Drosophila melanogaster: one gene and its partners. The protein of the gene in region 1 interacts with the protein of each later gene in a pairwise test. Each region holds a gene or a part of one and is shown on either strand. Other genes may lie near its edges. The genes, in order: CG8851, Odj, CG3342 and Traf-like.

Region 1 (5,161 bases):
CCTGGGCCAGCTTCAGCTGCTCGTTCTCTAAGAGCTTGGGGAAGTGCAGTAACTCGTTCAGTTTCTCTTGGAACTTAGCTCGAATCTCTTTGACCTCCGTGTTGATCTGCTGTTCGATTCGTTTGTTGTTCATGTTCAGCTTCTCTAGGGAGACGCACTGTTCCTCGACCTTCTGCTGGGCCAGCAGGTACTTGTTGCGGTAGTCCTCTAACTGCTGCGACTGCTCCTTCATGATGCACTTGAACTCCAGCTGCTCCTCCTTGAGCTCGTTGACCCGCGCTCGAAGTAGATTCAGCTCGGCGGCATCGGCATCCCCGTCGCCCCCTTTCGATGGACAGGGACCACAGATACCCTTCATTCGCTTCTGCATCTCCTTCATCTGGCAGTCCTTGCGCTGAAACTCGGTTAGCAGCCTGGTGTAGTTCTCCTTCATCTTCTCGTACTTGTCGGCCTTGGTGTTCCGCTTTCCGCCGCAGATGACCAGTGGGTCTGGATCCTCGGGACACGGCGGCCTGGGAGGACACGGCCTGGAGCAGGGGTCCTCCTCTCCTTCATCGTCATCGTCGTCGACGTCACAGGGTTCGGACGCATCCCGATTGCTCACCTCCTGGAGCAACTTCTTCACCGAGGTCTGCATGCATTGGATGCGCCGCTTCAGTTTCTCCAAGGACTCGCACTTGCCCGGTGGCTGGGGCTGGGGCTGGGGGCAGGGAGCCTTCTGAGCCTTCCGTTTGGCTGGACAGGGAGGAGGACATGGGGCAATGCTGCTGCTGCTGCTCTCCGGGCAAGGACCTTGGCAAGGACCCGGACAGGGTGGTGGCGGACAGGGACCCGGAACGCATACCGGCTGCTTCTTGCAGCTCATTATAGCGCAGGCGATCTCTTCGATCATCTTCTTGTCCTCAGGACAAGCGCCCTTCATCTTCTGCATGGCCTTTTGCAGAGCGCAGATCAACTTGTCGTCCTGACCAGCCATGTCCCGTTGACCTCCACCGCCTCCGCCGCCACCACAAACACTGGCACACGAGCTAGGCTCTTCGCTACAGGGATCCGTGGCGCTGCCAGCTGGAGCACAAGGACCGATGCCACACATATACGGTGACAGGTTGTCCTCGTCGACGGTGGTGGTCATGGCCAGCTCCTTGTAGTGCCGATGGGAGCCGAAGTTTTGCAGCTGCACCGCTCTGTTCATCATGGTGTGCAGCTTAATGTTCTCCTGCTCCATGCAAATCCTCAACCGCTTGATCTCGCGCAGTTCGTTGCGGGTCTTGCAGGGCTTGGCGCACATGTCCATGATGTTGCTCTTGATGTCCTGGATGATCTTGTTCTGGCAATCGATCTCCTTGATCAGCGCCAGGTACTCCATGTACATGCGCTTCTGCTCGGGATCGTCGGAGGACTCGCCCAGCTTGGAGAAGAGGTCCTCGTCGGGCCCCTCCTCCATCATGTGCTGTTCGCCAAGGTACTGGTTCTCATCGTCCTCGTACTCGCCGCCCTCATCGGTGTACTCTGTGTTCTCTGCCATCGCGATTTAGATTCACTTATCGATGCGGCCAAAAATTGTATGGTTAAAATTTTTTTTTTTTTTTTTTTATATTTGGCTAGATTTACTAACGATTTTAAGGTACGTATATTCTGCGAAAATTTTAACACATACTCTGAAAAAATTTCGAAACAAGTTTTGGGAAGAATAAGTTGTTTTCTTCGTGATCGAATAAAATGAACTGAAAAATCCACGGACATTCGCCCTGGGCAGTTGGCAACAGATTTGGAATGGCCTGCTTCGACTTGGGAGAATCGAACGAAAGATCCCGGAGAACTGGATTGGGATCGAGGACTTGCTTTGTCGAGGTGGATTACCGGAGTCCTCCCTCCCAGGATGGTCAGGAATGTGTCCTTCGGGAGGAGTGTGTATCGAGGCATCTATTCGGCGAAACAAACAACTATATTTACTACTGCCGCTACTTGAATTGGTTCAAAATCAAAACACAGTGCGACTTGAAGGAAATGGTATATCTTAATAAATAATTTTAAATCTATTCGAAAATATGTTATGAGAATCTACCTGTATCCTTTACTAACATAAAAGTATGAAAATGTTTTACGGTGAAATGGGAAATTTAAAGGGCAATCAGTAGGAATATACATATATAAATTATCACTCTACTGGGAGATGTGGTTTATTATCTAAAACTATTATATAAACCTTAAGGATATAATCAATCCTCGAACAGCGATATTTTCCAGAAGGCAAATGCCATTCGAGTAGGCGTAACGCCCAATTTTCTATCAAATAATTTTCGTCACGTCCTACGTAAAATTAATATTTTTGGGAATTGAATGTGTCACATAAGGTTTTTAAAAAAATTCTCTGTTCGCCAAAAACAGTGCAAAAAATTACACAAGTGCAACATTAACCAAATAGGCTAAATTTTCGTAGATGTTAAAGCCATCCAGGCGACCATTAGCCAACAGACAACGATCACTTCGATTCCGTCCACAGAATCGCAAAGGAACATCATCTAGTAACACCTCAATGGGACTGGACTTCGAGCTGGATGAGAAGAACGAAGATCAGGCAGATGAAAATGAAAAGAGTAGCTATGTCAGCCTCTCCAGGCCGAGCTCCAAAGTACTAGATACGAGAAGTGCCAGTAGCTTGGACTTCGGGGACCACTGTAGTCCCAGTATAACAAAATTACCCAAGAACAGCAGGGAAGGTAAGGAGGTCAGCCTAATCATGAGTGATGAAGAGCCGGAAGATTACAGAAAGGGTTTGGGCTCGAAGAGGAGGTTGCCAGACTCGGAAGCCCTTGGCAGCAAGCTAAAGGAGGAACTCTGCAAGTACAAGCAGGAGCTCAAGGACTACAACGAAAGCACCAAGGATCTGGAGGAGAAGTACATGAAAATTAACTACGAGCTGTGCGAAATGCAGCAGAAGCACGATCAGTTCGTGTCCAGCAGGAAGCAGGCCCAGCAAATGGATCTGGGAAGTGAGCCCGATCCGGATGGATTTTATAGCTCTGCCAGCAGTGTCACCTCGCAGACGACCATCAGACGAAAGAGCCCCCAAATCCTGCGCAGCAATACCAGTTTCATGACCGTTCTATCGGGCCAGAGTTCCTGCGACGAAATCGATAGAAAGAAATACGCGTCCGAAAGGAGTACTCATCAGCAGAATCACCATCGGCACAAGGACGATCTGCCATCACAGGTGAACAGCGTTTTTGACAGCCGTATTGTGGAAACACTGGCGAACCGTCACGTGAAGCGCAGGAAGAGATCCTTGGAGCAGGACGATCGGGAAAGGGAGCCAGCATCCTTCAAGGATGTGTACAATGTGCTGAAGGATGTGATCAACACCTCACAGGTATGAATTAGCTGTTAGCTAAATGGAATATAAAAACTTAAACCTTCTTCCTTAATCAGGATCAGAAGTACAAGCATGAACGGGATCGAGGTAGGGACAGAGACAGGGACAGGGACTCTGGAGATATAAGCCAGCTCCTTACCACCATTAAGGGACTGAAGAGCGAGCAGGTCCAGTTTCGAACTCTCATTCGGCAGCAGCAGGAGAGAATATCGGACTACCACACGCGGTGTGTGAAAGCCCAGGACATCATGAGCACCCAGAAGCAGGAGATCGAGAAGCTGCACGTGAATAACAAGCAGTTGGAGTCGAGCATCTACCATGACATAGACAGTCTGCGATCCAAGATAGACAACAAACTGAAAAGTGTCTCCCATTTGCCGAAGATGATGCGAGACGAGCACTCCAAGTACGAGACGGTAATGCGGGAAAATTGTCTGCTGGCGGATAAACTTCATGCCCTCCAACAGGAAGCCATGCAGCTGAAGGTCAAAATAGATGAACTGGGCCGCCGAAAGTTGGTCACCATCAACCGGCTGAAGGCCGCCGAAAGGGATCTGAAGATCTTTAAGAACTACAACTCGGCCTTGAAGACGGAGAAGCGGAAACTGACCCAGGAGCTGTCCACCATGAAGGATCAGCTGGAGCAGCTCCAGGCGAGCAGCAAAAGGCAACTTTCCCGCCATCGCGAGCAGAGCGAAAAGCAGCGCAGGGATCTGCAGAAGAAGATCTACGACCTCGAACTGAAGCTGAGTAGGAGCCAAAACTCGACGTCCAGTTTGATCCAGGAACGGGATAGTCTGATAGCTGAGCTCCAGACGCAACTCCACACCCTGGTCCACAACTTCGAGGTCTCGCAGAAACACATAAGGGTTCTCCGGCGGCACATCTACTCCATGACGAATCAGGGTGGCACGGGCATCGTTGGCAGTGGGTCGGCTGGCATTGCCCACTTGACATCAGGTGGTTCCCATCGACCCAGTCTGATCAGGATCAATCAGCTGCCCCAGGGAACCAGCAACGGTCGATTTGCAGCCCCCCGAACTCTGAAGGCGACGATCTAAACGGGGATCTGGACTGGACTGCCTAGACCTAGGCACTAGATTGGGCTCATCAGCTGTCCAGGCAACTTGAAGGTACTGCTCCCAGCACTTGGACTATGCCATCAAGTTGCCTGGACATTATCAGCCCTTATTAAGCCACCAATTATTTCACTCTAATGATTATGTAAACTCATTTTTAAAAGTACTTTTAATGATTCGGTTAAATGTATTGGGATAGGAACTTATTTAGGTACGACAGTCACATTACTATCACCGCTCCAAAGATTCCAAAGCCTCCAGAATTTGAGTTCATTATACGGAGCTATGACCAGATCTTTATGGCACTCCTTGACATAATTTAGGCAACAATTGCCGTTCACCAGACATGATTCTTGGCATCGACACCCTTCATTGATGTACCTTCCCCGAACAAAGTCCTGACCACAACGACCAGAGCAGTCGGTCATTTGGTAGCCCAGTGAATCCGTGATATCCGATTCTTCTATTGGTTTTTTTGGTTCCTCGATGAAGGTAGACCTCCTGGCACATTCCTTAGCTGCCATCAGCTTCACGTCGTCGATGGCAATATCTCCGTATTGGGACCTCGCATCCGTGGCGGTAAAGATCACTTGGAAGTCCTCATCCATCTTATTGATATCGATCGTGTGCTCCAGCCACCTGGCACCTTGTGATCCAGTCATCACGAATTGGTCGAACTTGTAGGGACTAAAAAATCATATTGCTGTAT
Region 2 (4,000 bases), on another chromosome or scaffold:
CGCGGCTGGCGTTCATTCTGTTCTAACTGTAAATGGAGTAAATGGGTTATGCCATTCACGCACACAAGAAACCATCAACATACCCATATTCCAGTGAGATCCTTGATCTTGGCCAGAACTTCCAGGCAAAAAATTATCGTGGGATTCAGGTGACAGAAACACGAGGCGCACAAATGGCATTGCGAAGGCTTTTTCATTTCAAACATATGATCATTTATCCCGCTGAATTCCCAAAACAATCAGCTGTAGTTTAATTGATTTTATGTTGTCAATTATGGAATAAAAACGGTAAAAGAGCGTACGCAATCCGAGAATTTCTGTTTACTCTCTCTAAGCAGCAAAATTTGTATGAATTACCTGTTTCATGGCGTTACCAGATAGGTGTGGAAAAACTAACTGTTCTTATTTCCTAGAAACCAGGGAACATCGAGCTAGTTTTTATAATTTAAAATTTATATATTATAAACGGGAGGTTAAATTTTCCCAAAAAGAGAGGTTCAAGCTAAAACACACGTTCGGCTAATTCCTGACGTTTTTGAAATTGGTTCCATATAATTTTTATTAAAATAAGCGCGCTGTGCAATTAGAATAAAATATATTTTATAACAAATTGTAATCTAAGACCGACGTTGAATTCCTTCCACACTGGTGCTAATCGTACGGCTGGCTGGTGATTCAAAGGATTTCTCTGAACCACCGAAAAAGTCAGATAGTTTGCATCCCTGGCATTGTGGCGTGTGGAGTGTGGAGTGTGTGGCGCCAACAGTCGATTTTTTTTGTGTGCTTAAAGTTAGGTGTACAGCTCCTCTCCATCGGGAATGGCTTCCTCGTACTCGAAGTCCTCAAAATTTGCGTCCTCATCCTGAAGTACCTCGTGGTCCTCATATTGTTCCTCGTCAATGTTATCTAACATTACGTCCAGTTCAGCCTGGTTGTCCTCCATTTCTGCCTGCCCCTCTTCCATATATCCCGGAAACTCCGCCGGATCGACTTCAGACTGGAATTCCTCTTTTGGACCATTAACCAGCAAGTTGACCCGCTTGCGGTGATACTTTGTGGAGTAGTGCCGATGCAAAAACTGCGCCTCCTTGAACTCCTTGTTGCATGTGAGGCAGCTGTGAAAGAATATGAGTTTGTACATCTATGGCTACGTATATTTCAATGATTCTTACATATGGACATCCGGTTGGTCACTCTTGTGCCCCTCCTCGTGCTTCAGCCGTCCCTTCTCGCTGTTGAATCGTTTGCCGCATATTTTGCACGGGTGCACCAGCTCGTTGGCATGCATTTGACTGTCAAGGTTTTTATGGTTTATATAGATAAGGACTTGTGATGATTAGGCCAGCACTCACCGTTCATGACGACAGCGGCTGGGACTATTGGCGAATCCCATACCGCAGAACTTGCAGACGTACGGTTTCTCGCCCTTGTGATGGACTCGAATGTGCAATCGGAGCAGTGGCATGGTGTAGAACTTGCGACCGCACTCGTCGCATGAAAACTTCTCCTCGAAGTGCCGCAGCTTGTGATCCTTCATGTTGCTGTGATCGTTGAACGACCAACCGCACTGGTCGCACACGTATCGCTTTATCGAGCGATCGACCTTGGGTTTTGGTCGCCGCTTTCTGGGCTTTCGGACGTGCTCCCGCGGAGGTGGCGGTGGACTATCTGCCTTCTCGACCACAGGCACACGAAGCCGCTTGACCCTGACTCGTGGGGACTGTCTGTTCGGGAAATTTTGGTCCTCGATCCGGATTTTTTTGGCCGGAGGATATCTTAAAATCGGCTTTTCGTCCTCCAAGAAATCCTTATCATCATCCATTAAATCCTTATCATCGTCCAGTAGCTCCTTATCGTCCTCGGTGTCTACTGTATCATCCAGCACCTCCCGTTTCAGCAGCGGATCACTAAGCACTGGCGAAACCTCCGGGGAGCCTTTTGAGGCGACACCCGCCTTCGAGGAGATCCTCTGGTGGAGATTTGCGTGCGTCTCCAGGCATCGCTGCCTGAAGGCTACGGCTTGGGTCAGGTCCAGGAGACAACAAGCGCATATGTGCTGGGGCAGCATATTCTCTAAAACGATCTGGAAATGCATAGATTATGAATAATTCCGGACAACAAATAAAAGGGACGCCACCTCTAAGCCCGTGATTTGCTCGATGGCCATCCGAATGCGATGATTGCGCTTCTCGAAGATGTTCTTTGGGTGCGGCGTGAAGATGCGCTCGCCGCAGATCCGACACTCGGTGCTCATTCTTTCGAAACTAAATAAAATTGATTAATTTTAATTACAAATTATAGTAATTTTTGCGCAGCCGGTTTGGTTTTGAAGTGTGACCGTTGTCCGCAACTAGAGGTGTCAAACATTGATGTTTTTAAAATTTTCCGATATATCGATGTTTATTTCAGACTATCGATATTGGTGTTCAAATAAAAAAAAATCGGCACTGCATCCCGTGAATTTTCTTTTTTAATTGAAATACATAATACTCCTAAGAAAACACGCTTTACAAGCGAATAAATAGTTGTATATATCTCCTTTTTTTAGCAATTTATTTTTATCTTTAGGCTACGATTATAAAAATAAAATAAGCATCATAAGCAAGTTTGAAGCTCTTTTGTGTACAGAATTTGTAGTAACTAGCCTAGAAAAAGCGATTAGCAATCAAAGGAAGTCTCTCATAACGTGTAATTGTCAAATCTTTGTCAAAATGCTCTATAGAAATGCCTCCAGTACGGGGGCCGCGATCAGGCGCCAACTCTCCCGCCATCGCAGCTCCTGGAACTCCTGGATTTTGCGCTGAAAACCAGCTCTTGTCTCCAGGATGCTGGGATTCTTTGGAAAATTTTCGAACCAAATCCTCAGCTGCTCGGCCAGCTGAACATGGTCGCCAAACACGAAGCCATTCTCGCCGTGCTTCACCAGCTCATCCAGGCTAAAGAGCCATTTGTAGAAGTTAGTAAGTAATAATAGTAAATGGCAGGATTAGTTACCACTTGAAATCGTAGGCGCAGACAGGCAGCCCGCTGCCGAACATGTCGACCACCTTCATGGGCAGGTCGAGCCCACTGGTGCTCCAGTGCAGACACACGCCCAGGTCGGCGCTGGCCAGAACAGTGGGGTAGTCCTCGATCTCTAGCCAGGGCGTGATCACCGACACCTTCTGCCATTGCAGCTTCTCGATCTCCGCCACATAGTGCTCCTTTTGTGGCCCCTTTCCGGTGATGATACACAGCAGGGAAGGATAAACCAACGGCTCTGCTTGCGCAGTCTCCTCGTAAGCTTGCAAAGCCTTAAGCAGTATACCGAAGTCCTCGTCCGGCGTCCAACTGGTGCTGGAAACCAGCACGGCTTGTCGCTGTGGTCTGTACTGCACAACACCGCTGGCCAGCTTTTGGGTAAGAGCGGTGGCCTCCAGAACATCGGATTGTTCGGCGTCCTTGGCCTGGAACTGTGGGTAGTCTTTGGCCAGCTTCAGGTACAGCTCGTGCTTGTGAGTCAAGTCGATGGGATGGAATTGCGCGGGCGCACGATCATACAGAACTTTGACAGGCCTGAAAGATGAGTCGCGGCTGAGTTATTTACTTCGTTTAGATGGATGTGATGAGGACTTACCCAATGCCCCAGTTTTGCTGCAGATCCTCTTGCATGGCCCGCGTCACACAGAAGTGTGTGTGTGCCTTGGAGCCGAAGTATCGCTCCAGTCGCCTAACCAATCGTATTAGAGGACTCTGCTCTCCCTTCGACATTCCCAATGCCAGCACTGTGTACGTGTAGTTGTGCCAATCGATGGCCAGCTTGGTTCGTGTGACCGCACAGTACAGATAGCACACAATCAGCGTGGGAATGCCGGGCGGATTCTGGACGAGTAGGAAGCTGGGACGGCCAATGGAGATGAGAGCCATCAGCAGACTGAGCGTCTGCCAAAAGGCCTTGAAGAGCAGGCGCAGTTTGGGTGTTAGGTTCGTCACTGGGACGGCAGTTAGCTCGTGGATTCGG
Region 3 (4,237 bases), on another chromosome or scaffold:
TGTGATCTCTTCGTGCGACAGTGCCCGGCCGAAACTCGCCTCCACGTAGTGAACTTCGGCACCATAGCGACGGGCCATATCCCCGGCCCGATGACCCCAGACGCCCGTGATGCCCATGAGCACCACATCGCCATCCTCGATCAGATTGCACAGAGCGGCCTCCATGCCCGAGTGGCCGGCGCCGCTGATGCACATGGTGGCATCGTTGAGTGTCTGAAAGATGTACTTAATGCCCTCCTTCACCTCGTCCATGATCTGCAGATATACAGAGATTAATATACAAACACCTGGCCATGCTCAGTGGGAATAGCTCAATTCATGGGGGGATCACTAATATTAGATTGCTATAAAGTATAAGAGATGTGCTGGTTTCACTCGACTGGCTAGCCCACAGATCTCTGACCCAGCTCAGCAAATGTATCTCAATGTTTCACTTCGTTCAGATAAGGTACAGTGCGGCCCATGAGTATATGGACTTGGGCTTAACTTTTCGATATAATTCGAGTATTAAGCTCAATCTTGCTAGCACTTTTGTGGTTTTAAGAAGATATTGTACCTGCAGGCATTCGGGATGCATGTGACCCAACACCGGATTGCTCATGGCCTCCAGGACGCGATGGGAACAGTTGGAGGGTCCGGGCCCCATCAACGTCTTGCTGGGCACATAGAGCGGTCGCTTGAGTACAAGTGGCGGTGGTACCTCCATGGTCTTTGTTCCCTATTTACGTAATCAGATCTCTGTGTTTACGACTGCCTTATCGCCTTCTGCTCTCTAATCCGCTGTGCCAGGTAGAATGGGTGTTACTACTGTTTGGTGATGGGAGTTGGTTTTTATGGGCTGTCTCTCTCGGTGGCTGGCCAAGATCGGACTGAAACGCTTGCCGGGCTGCTGGCCACTTTATAGCGCACCGGATCGCAGCTTATCGCCGCAATTTTCGCCGATGAACGCACTTGAACAAGTGGTAAATGATGCGCTCTCCCGCTTATCAAGGCATCAAGATCGAGAGCAACTGCGTCGTTGGCGGCACAGAACGAAATTTGGAATAAGAATAATAAGTTAAGACTGCCATTTGATGGGTCAAAAAATCATACACAGTTTTAAGACAAGATCTTTACGAAATAATATGACTTACTACTCAATTAATTTCATTGTTAATCTGAAAGAAGTACCATTTTTTGTTTGCAGTGTGCTGCTGCTGATTCTTTGAATGGCCTTGGGAAGGTTGGCGGACCAATGTCTATTGTGAAATAAGAAATCCAGCGAATTCAGCAAGACGAACCTTGACTGTGGGTACGTATACGTAATGTAGCAACTTCTTTTTCGAAGCTGGAAGCATCTGCAGAGTGCAGAGATCAAGATCTAGCATCTAGATCTTAATTCTCTCGAAATCTCAGCCCACTGACAACTAACATTTGGGTTGATAGCAGTGCCCGTATCGTCAGTTTTTCCATTAGCGATTTGGAGTGGAAAACACATCGTGACCAGGAGGTCAACCGCCAATAATACAAATGTCGTATTGAGTGGCCGAAAATATTTATTACCATTTCGCTGGTGGTGAAATTAGAATCAAAATAAAAACAAAAACATAGATTTAGGAAAGTGATAAGCAGTCAAATTAGCAGGTCGTGACTATAAAATTTAAATGTTCGTTTAAATATTGATTGATTTTTCCATATTTAAGGCACAAGCATCTTTTTAAAAACATTGTTTCGAATGTAGAAGTAAGTTCAGTTTGGTTTTAATATATTGAATTAATTATATTGAAACGAATTGAATATAGAATATATATTCTATTACAGTTGACTATATTAAACATATATATGTATAAATATGTTTATTTTATGGCCTTTTTGCTTAATATTTAGTTATAATATTTTATAATTTTCCTGAAAGCAATTCACCGGTGGAAACAAGTTTTCTTCGTTTTGGCGCTTGGTCACACTTTCTGTTTCGGTCAAAACAAACTGAACAATAGTTAATGTTTTTAAACATTTTCGATGCGACTGCATAATTAGGCATGGAAATCGGCAACGATCAGTCCTATCAGGACTTCTTCGACAAGTTGCGAAGGTGAGTCTGTTTCTGGACGGGATTGGGACACTTGGCACAGTGGTATATACATATTAAATATATATGAACTCCAGTGAATCGGGTCCTCGCAACTTGCGCCAGATCTTTGAGGACGACGATCGTCCGCTGGCGAACGAATCATCCAGCTTGCGCTATCAGCCAGGCAGCTCCAAAAAATTGCAGGCTGGCAAAAGACCGGCCATGACCAGGAGTAGCACCCAGGAGACGGGTGATTCACCGCCTGCCGCCTGGAACACGGCCATTGCCAAGGTGGTGCATGCCTATCGGAGCAGCGAGAACGTTGGACGCGTCGGCCTGGCCCTCTCGATTCTGGGCGAGATGGAGGCCAGCAAGCTGATTGTCTACCGCAGCAAGAGTCAGGTGCTGACCACGCTGCAGTTGACACCGCGTGGCGGCAAGGTGATACTGCGCGAATCCTATCTGCAGTTCTACGATGACGAGCAGCGCTTCTGGAGCCTGCGATTCGACAAGGAACCGGATGAGAAGGAATTCATAACGTTTATGGTCAAAAACAAACTGCCAGTGGAGCACTATCTCAGCGAGATCTCATCCTCCAGCTCGGCATCGCCTTCGCGTGAGGATTTATCTAAGATCCGAACTAAAGCAACGGTCACAAAGACGACGCCTAATCCGCCACAGCCGCAACCACGTTCCCGCGTAACGCTGCCAACGCTGGAGAAGGCGGACGATGAGGAACGCGAACGGGAAACAGAGACACCTTCCAATGAGGATGTGATAGTAACGCCAGTGCCGCGACCCATAGGTTCGTCAAATGCTCACAGGAAACTCAGTGCCAGTTCCCTGGCGGTGGCCAACGCTTCAACGAGCAGCGATACTCCGTTGGCTGTGACGACACTGGACAAATATCTAGACGAACAGCGTGCCTCGGGTGCGTTAATGGAGCACAAGATGGACGCCATTCTGCAGGCCATGAATCGCATGGGCGGCCAGTCGAGTGTTGCGCCCAAGAAGCCCAGTGATCCGCTGCTGGAACGCGACAGCGAGGACGAGATGCTGGAGCTGGAGCAGAAGCTGCTCAACTTGAAGCGGGAGAATCGAGCGCTAATGCGCAACCTCAAGGCACGCGAACAGGCGCTGGAGGATCTACGCTGCTCGGCGTGCGCCCTTTGCGAGGAGCTACTAGTCCAGAATGGCGAGCTCAAGTCGCAGAATGCCCAGCTGTTGTTAGCCAGCCAGCATATTTCCGATTCAAGCACAGCTGCTTCGCCTGCCCATTGCCGCAATTGCGAGTCGTCTTCCCGGCAAATAGCCAAAATGCAGCTACACATTTCCGCACTGCAGGAAGCGCTGCGAATCTTTCAGAAATCAGGCGACTCCAGCTCCAGTTCGGGTCGGTTATAGCACCTAACGTAGGCGTATTATATATGTTCGGTATTACTATCGAAAAGTGTATTAAATCATTTGTTAGGTCGCGTAACATATCCACAAATACAAGCCAGACACTATTAGCTATCTTTAAGTCATTAGATTGCCATGTTATTGGGCTCATTTACAAAGCGATTTTCTAATCTATTACAACTATTATTACTAAATGTGAGATATAAAATATGTTGCGGAAGATTATAATTAATAGCAACCCATGCTTTGCTCTCTCTCAATTATGAAAAACTCCGACTTCCTCTTGTACAAACTAATTTGTTGTATTTGCAGCACACATCGGGCTGAAATTTAAGGTATAGGGACAAGTCTACGGTTTGCGCGTCTCATAATCCGTGGGAAGAGTTCATGGAGAAGTTGTTTTGGGGCCTGGAACTGGAAGTGGAACTGGCAGTCTCTCTGTGGAAGTGAGGAGCGGAAAGGATGGGCTGGCGGTCCTGCTCCTTTACGTTTTTACGGCTAAAATGGAAAGCGAGCTAGTTTGCGGAGCGAGTGCTTTGGGAGGCAGCTGTCTATCCATCCTGATGCTGATCCAGATCCAGATACAGATCCACATCTAGATTCTCTTGCTGATCCAGTTAATCCTTGTTTGTTTCTTTTCTTTCTCAGTAGGTGCTGCTGTCGCTGAGGCTGCTCAGGTAGCTGCTGCCGGCGGTCGGAGCACCGGATCCGCCGGCACGATGTCGCTTCCGCTTCGCCTTGGTCTTCTTGCGTCGCAGCATGGCCGTGTCCGTGGACTTGCGCTTG
Region 4 (4,640 bases), on another chromosome or scaffold:
GCGATGGCCGGAATTGGCACCAATGACACCCAGTTGATCCGTGTGATCATCACGCGCAGCGAGGTAAGTACATCTATATATAATATCATTCAACCCTAAAATGTTGCAACGTTTTTCAGATTGATATGACGGACATTAAGGTAGCGTTCGAACGTCTGTACGGCAAGTCCCTCAAGAGCTGGATCAAGGTAAGATATATATATCTATCTATATCTATATTCTATAATCATATAAAATCCTACTTGCAGGGCGATACTTCGGGCCACTACAAGCACGCCCTTTATGCCCTGGTGGGTGAACAGCGCTCCTCTTAAGAATCTCCGCATATACATATATATGTATTATTCAAACCAAATCCGACGTGAAATCAATTATTCGAATATGTATTATCTCTTCTATGTATTCGTTCATTTAAATGCATACAACATACAAGAACACGCCAACGAAGCCAGACAATTATGATCCACAACGTAGACTATAAGTGCACACAAATAATACCTGAACGGGATCAGACATTTGATACCTCTTTCAAAGAAATGAACATGGGAACCGACAGTTGACAAGTGTTGAAGTTGTATTTTATTAAAAGACCTTTGTATTTAAATGCGTTCGTAAAGACAAATAATATGGAAGTTCCTCTCAAAAATCGCTTGTTAATTTGCTCGAAATGAAAAACCAAAAAATGAAAGAGTTGCTTATATCTTGACAAAGTGACCAGGGAAATGTTGCAATAAAAGCTATGCTTTCTAACTACCGACTTCGTCTCGACAGTGCCTCAATGTGACTATTGCCTAATTTGAAAAAAAGCATTTAAAACTGCAATGACATTTAAAACTACAATATACGCATATTGAAACGATGAATCGATTCGTATGCACTTATACACTATATATGTACACATACTCGTGTTTGTAAGCGGGTTTTTAACTTCCAGTTCGCTCTCAATGGAATAAATTATGTTTTATGTATGTGACAATCCGCAATTGGATTTTTTTTTTCTTATCGCTCCTGGTGGGTGGGATAGCGATGCTGCATGGGTTTTATTTTAGAACTCGAACCTCGATGAACATGGAATCGTTGCGAAGATAGTTGCGACTGGTGATTACCTTGTGTGGTATATGGAAGTACTGGTTGCTTTGGATAAAATCATCGCTCTTCTTGCGCACAAAGATGGTCTTCACATAATCCTCGGCATCTGCCACATTCGTGCACTGATCCCGGATGATGATCTCGGCCTGAAGGCGGCATGGCCAGGCCAGAAGGGGATCGTACTCTCCGGATAGAACGTTCAAGCAGGCGATCATGTTCCTGCCCTTCCAGGTGCCCTTGCCATTCAAGTATATATCCAGCTAGTAATGGGGTATACATATATAAATGGCATATCCAACCAAGATCCAACCTCAACTCACCCGTAGAGCATAGCCAAAGGCTTTATTGGAGAACATGGCGCTATGGAGGATGGTGTCGTACTGCTTGGACTCTTCCAGTTTTTTCGAGTAATCCTTGATGCGCCAAATCAAGTGTCCTGTACGACCAGATATTATATATTTAAATTACTATATTGAACCAACAATATGTACCCCTTATATTCTGGACACTGGCAATCCGCTGCTGCATGGCCATTTGGGTCTCCAAATCCGATATATTCTGCATGGTCTGGTGAAGTGCTCGATCCAATTTATCGCAACGTTCCTCCGTTTCGCACACAATGTTCTTCACATTCTTCACCTCATAGTCCAATGTGGCCTGCTTTGACGTCACATAGTCACTGTTGCCCAGCTTTGTTTTGATGTCCTCATTGATCTGCTGCAGAAACTCCTCGATCTGAAAGAACTTCTCCCTGTTGAGCCGCTCGTTCTCAAAGATCAGCTCCTCCAGCTTTAGGATATTGTCGTTTAGCTGATTCTGGTGATAGGTCACGTCCGCCGAGAGCTGATTGACCAGCTTTTGGGCCTCATCCAGCCTGGACTCCACTTGCTCTTTCAAGGACTTCGACGGAGATATGCACATTAAAGATAGATAGTATATATATATTTAAATAAAGTAGCATTAACTAACCTGTGTGATATCACAGCAGTACTGGACATCCAGCTGGTTCTGTTCGATGGCGAATGCCTTCCGATTGGTTTCCTCCTCCATCTGGCGACGCAGATCGTCCATTGCCTTCTCGGTTTCGCGGGTCCAGTCCTCGACGACCTGGTTCTGCTTCCGTATGTTGCCCACATCGGTAATGAGATGCAAACGCTGTCGTATCTCCTCGTTGAGAACGGACCGAATGGTGCCCACGTCCTGTTCAATGACCAGGAGACGCTGATCCGACTGCCTATCCAGGCGATCCATGCTGACACTCATGCGTTGCTGATTGCTCAGATTGTGCTGGTTGCGTGGACACTCCTTCAGATGGGATCGCATACGGATGCGTGGAATGAAGGCCTGACAGCCGTTGGGACACTCCTCCAGCACCTGGCCGCAGTGGATCAGGTGTTCCTGCAGTCGCATCCAAAGAGGAGTAATGTAATAGTAATCAAAGGTGAACTGAAAAGTTGGACGATTATAACCGTGAATGTCTGGGCATCGAACCATTCGTTGCAGAAGAGGCACGACGACTTCTCATACTTGACTATGGTCGTCGATTTGGGCTGATTCTGATTCTCATTCTGATTCTGATACTGATTCTGCTCGGTTAGATCCTTTCTCGACGACGACTTGGTCAGTGACATTATATTGATTAAAGGAAAGCAAATTCGATTGAAACTTTGGATCAGCAAATTCTCTGGCGCTGCGAGCACCGCCCTATGCACACTAAACTCAGCCAAAAATGATTAAGAATTTCCTTGGGCATAGTCATACGCGGCGCACACAGACATGGTTTAGATATAGCTTTGCACATGTGTTAGCATTAGGGCGTCCATGGGAATCTATACGACAACCTCGAACTGATAGCACTGCCATTTGGTGCGATTACCACTATTTCGAAATGCGAGAGCAACCAACGAATCGTATTGACCACTAACTTGGCGAACTACGACCAGGAAAACACAGCCACCGAGAATCCACTAAAATCGTAACCGTCACCAGATCTTCCAGCGACTATATGGCCACATATGTACCTGCAAAATGTTCATATCTCTAGCTCCCCTTGTACAAACATATTCGGAATGCGAGTGGAGATAACATTATCAATGAAAAACGGGCTTCACAATCAAAACTTTGTCCATTGCCTCGGCAATGCAAATGGTAACGACGCCATCAACTAGATAACAATGTGGTGGGCGGCAGTGATCGTGGGCGTGGCAGTGGGTATGGCCGAACCAACAGGTGCCCTACGTACACATATGTGGATCGGGATTGAAGTACATTTACTGACTCGCCGCCCTACTTTATGGTATCAAAAGTGGGGCAACGGCTAAACTGTGATAAAAACGGGCTATATACTTTCGTATATATTTTTAAACAATATCCGATGTAGGAAAAATATTAAATAAATCCTTTATTAATTAGATGTTTGTATCGTGTAGCTGTATTGAAACCCAGCATTTTCGTAAACGAACCATTTTTCCAAGTGTAGTTGCACTTGCTCTCAATAAGTCGCCGAGATTATGATAAAAATGTTATCAGCCTAAAATGTCGTACTTCCCAGTTGATTGCGAGTGTTAGCATACGATTTCAAGGTTCTCCATTTGGGAAGTTGAGATACTTTCCTACCTCTAAGGTGGTGGTCAGAAATCAAATCTATTGTTCAAACGTTTAACAAAAATTTGTTTATCTAACAAAAAAAAAAAAAATTGTATACATGAGGAAATAAATAAATTAGGGGTATAAAAACTATAGCCTAATCGACGATTACAAGTATGTGGACTCAAACTTCTCGCGCATCTTAAGTTTCCGTTGTTTTCCGGGAAAAATGCTGAAACTCTTTATGTTGAGCGCCCTCTGGAGCATTCGGATGGTATAGTCGGGTACCAGGCAGGCCACACAGGTCACTATGATCCACAGCCAGACTGGCAGTGAGGCCAACAGATTGTTGTAGGCCCAGTAGATGTCGGTGTCGTAGTCCCTGCAAATAATACATATACATATTAGTTTAAACCTTAAATGGATACATTCGTAGCCATGAACTCACAGATTGATAACGTTGTAGATAACCGTTGTGACTACAAAGCCCAAAATGGAAATGATAATGGTGAATATATACCAAAAGGACAGATACATTGACTCGAGCCAGAGCTTAAGGTTCACGACCACCACCACCGTCCACATGAGGAGGGTGCCGAAGCAGGAGAAGGCCACCGTCTGTCCGTAGTTCAGGAGAACGTTGTTGTAGTAGAAGAAGCAGAAGGCGAAGTAGAATATGATGACACTGTGGTAGATCGCAAATAGGACCCACATCAGGAAGTACGGCCAGTGGAGCTGCTTGTTGTCCGTGTTCTTCTTGTAAAGCTGTGGCGTTCTGTTCAAGTTGCATTTTTAGTAACATCAACATTATACATATAAACGATTGAACCCACTGTTACCTCATCAACTTCTCCTCGGTGTATGGCTTCTCGGAGATAGCTATGAACAAAATGGGCAGCGAGGTGTATATCACATTGTACAAGGTAAGGAATAGCGAATCGTAGACGGAGGATGAGGAGAACAGC

The links.
Region 2: the proteins of CG8851 (region 1) and Odj interact in a two-hybrid assay, tested with the Drosophila melanogaster proteins (2 studies listed by BioGRID).
Region 3: the proteins of CG8851 (region 1) and CG3342 interact in a two-hybrid assay, tested with the Drosophila melanogaster proteins (2 studies listed by BioGRID).
Region 4: the proteins of CG8851 (region 1) and Traf-like interact in a two-hybrid assay, tested with the Drosophila melanogaster proteins (2 studies listed by BioGRID).

Annotation. Positions count from the first base shown.
Region 1 is NT_033779.5:3,517,939-3,523,099, forward strand, and holds CG8851 (uncharacterized protein), read left to right. Parts: upstream 1-1,738; 5' UTR 1,739-1,773; coding exon 1,774-2,010; intron 2,011-2,283; exon of another isoform or gene 2,284-2,440; coding exon 2,441-3,370; intron 3,371-3,429; coding exon 3,430-4,434; 3' UTR 4,435-4,617; downstream 4,618-5,161. Other genes in the region: CG3213 (uncharacterized protein), read right to left, coding at 1-1,525; Sr-CIV (scavenger receptor class C, type IV), read right to left, coding at 4,656-5,139.
Region 2 is NT_033777.3:17,806,864-17,810,863, forward strand, and holds Odj (oddjob), read right to left. Parts: upstream 2,360-4,000; 5' UTR 2,255-2,359; coding exon 2,138-2,254; intron 2,084-2,137; coding exon 1,353-2,083; intron 1,293-1,352; coding exon 1,173-1,292; intron 1,116-1,172; coding exon 791-1,115; 3' UTR 544-790; downstream 1-543. Other genes in the region: CG17801 (uncharacterized protein), read right to left, coding at 1-26, 84-206; Alg1 (ALG1, chitobiosyldiphosphodolichol beta-mannosyltransferase), read right to left, coding at 2,717-2,936, 2,995-3,555, 3,617-4,000.
Region 3 is NC_004354.4:6,525,585-6,529,821, reverse strand, and holds CG3342 (uncharacterized protein), read left to right. Parts: upstream 1-1,933; 5' UTR 1,934-2,018; coding exon 2,019-2,071; intron 2,072-2,145; coding exon 2,146-3,454; 3' UTR 3,455-3,716; downstream 3,717-4,237. Other genes in the region: Agxt (Alanine-glyoxylate aminotransferase), read right to left, coding at 1-255, 557-706; CG3918 (uncharacterized protein), read right to left, coding at 4,096-4,237.
Region 4 is NC_004354.4:16,413,504-16,418,143, reverse strand, and holds Traf-like (TNF-receptor-associated factor-like), read right to left. Parts: upstream 3,099-4,640; 5' UTR 2,721-3,098; coding exon 2,559-2,720; coding exon of another isoform or gene 2,488-2,558; coding exon 2,059-2,487; intron 1,990-2,058; coding exon 1,581-1,989; intron 1,526-1,580; coding exon 1,410-1,525; intron 1,350-1,409; coding exon 1,041-1,349; 3' UTR 559-1,040; downstream 1-558. Other genes in the region: AnxB11 (annexin B11), read left to right, coding at 1-63, 120-188, 249-314; CG4301 (uncharacterized protein), read right to left, coding at 3,844-4,057, 4,124-4,450, 4,515-4,640.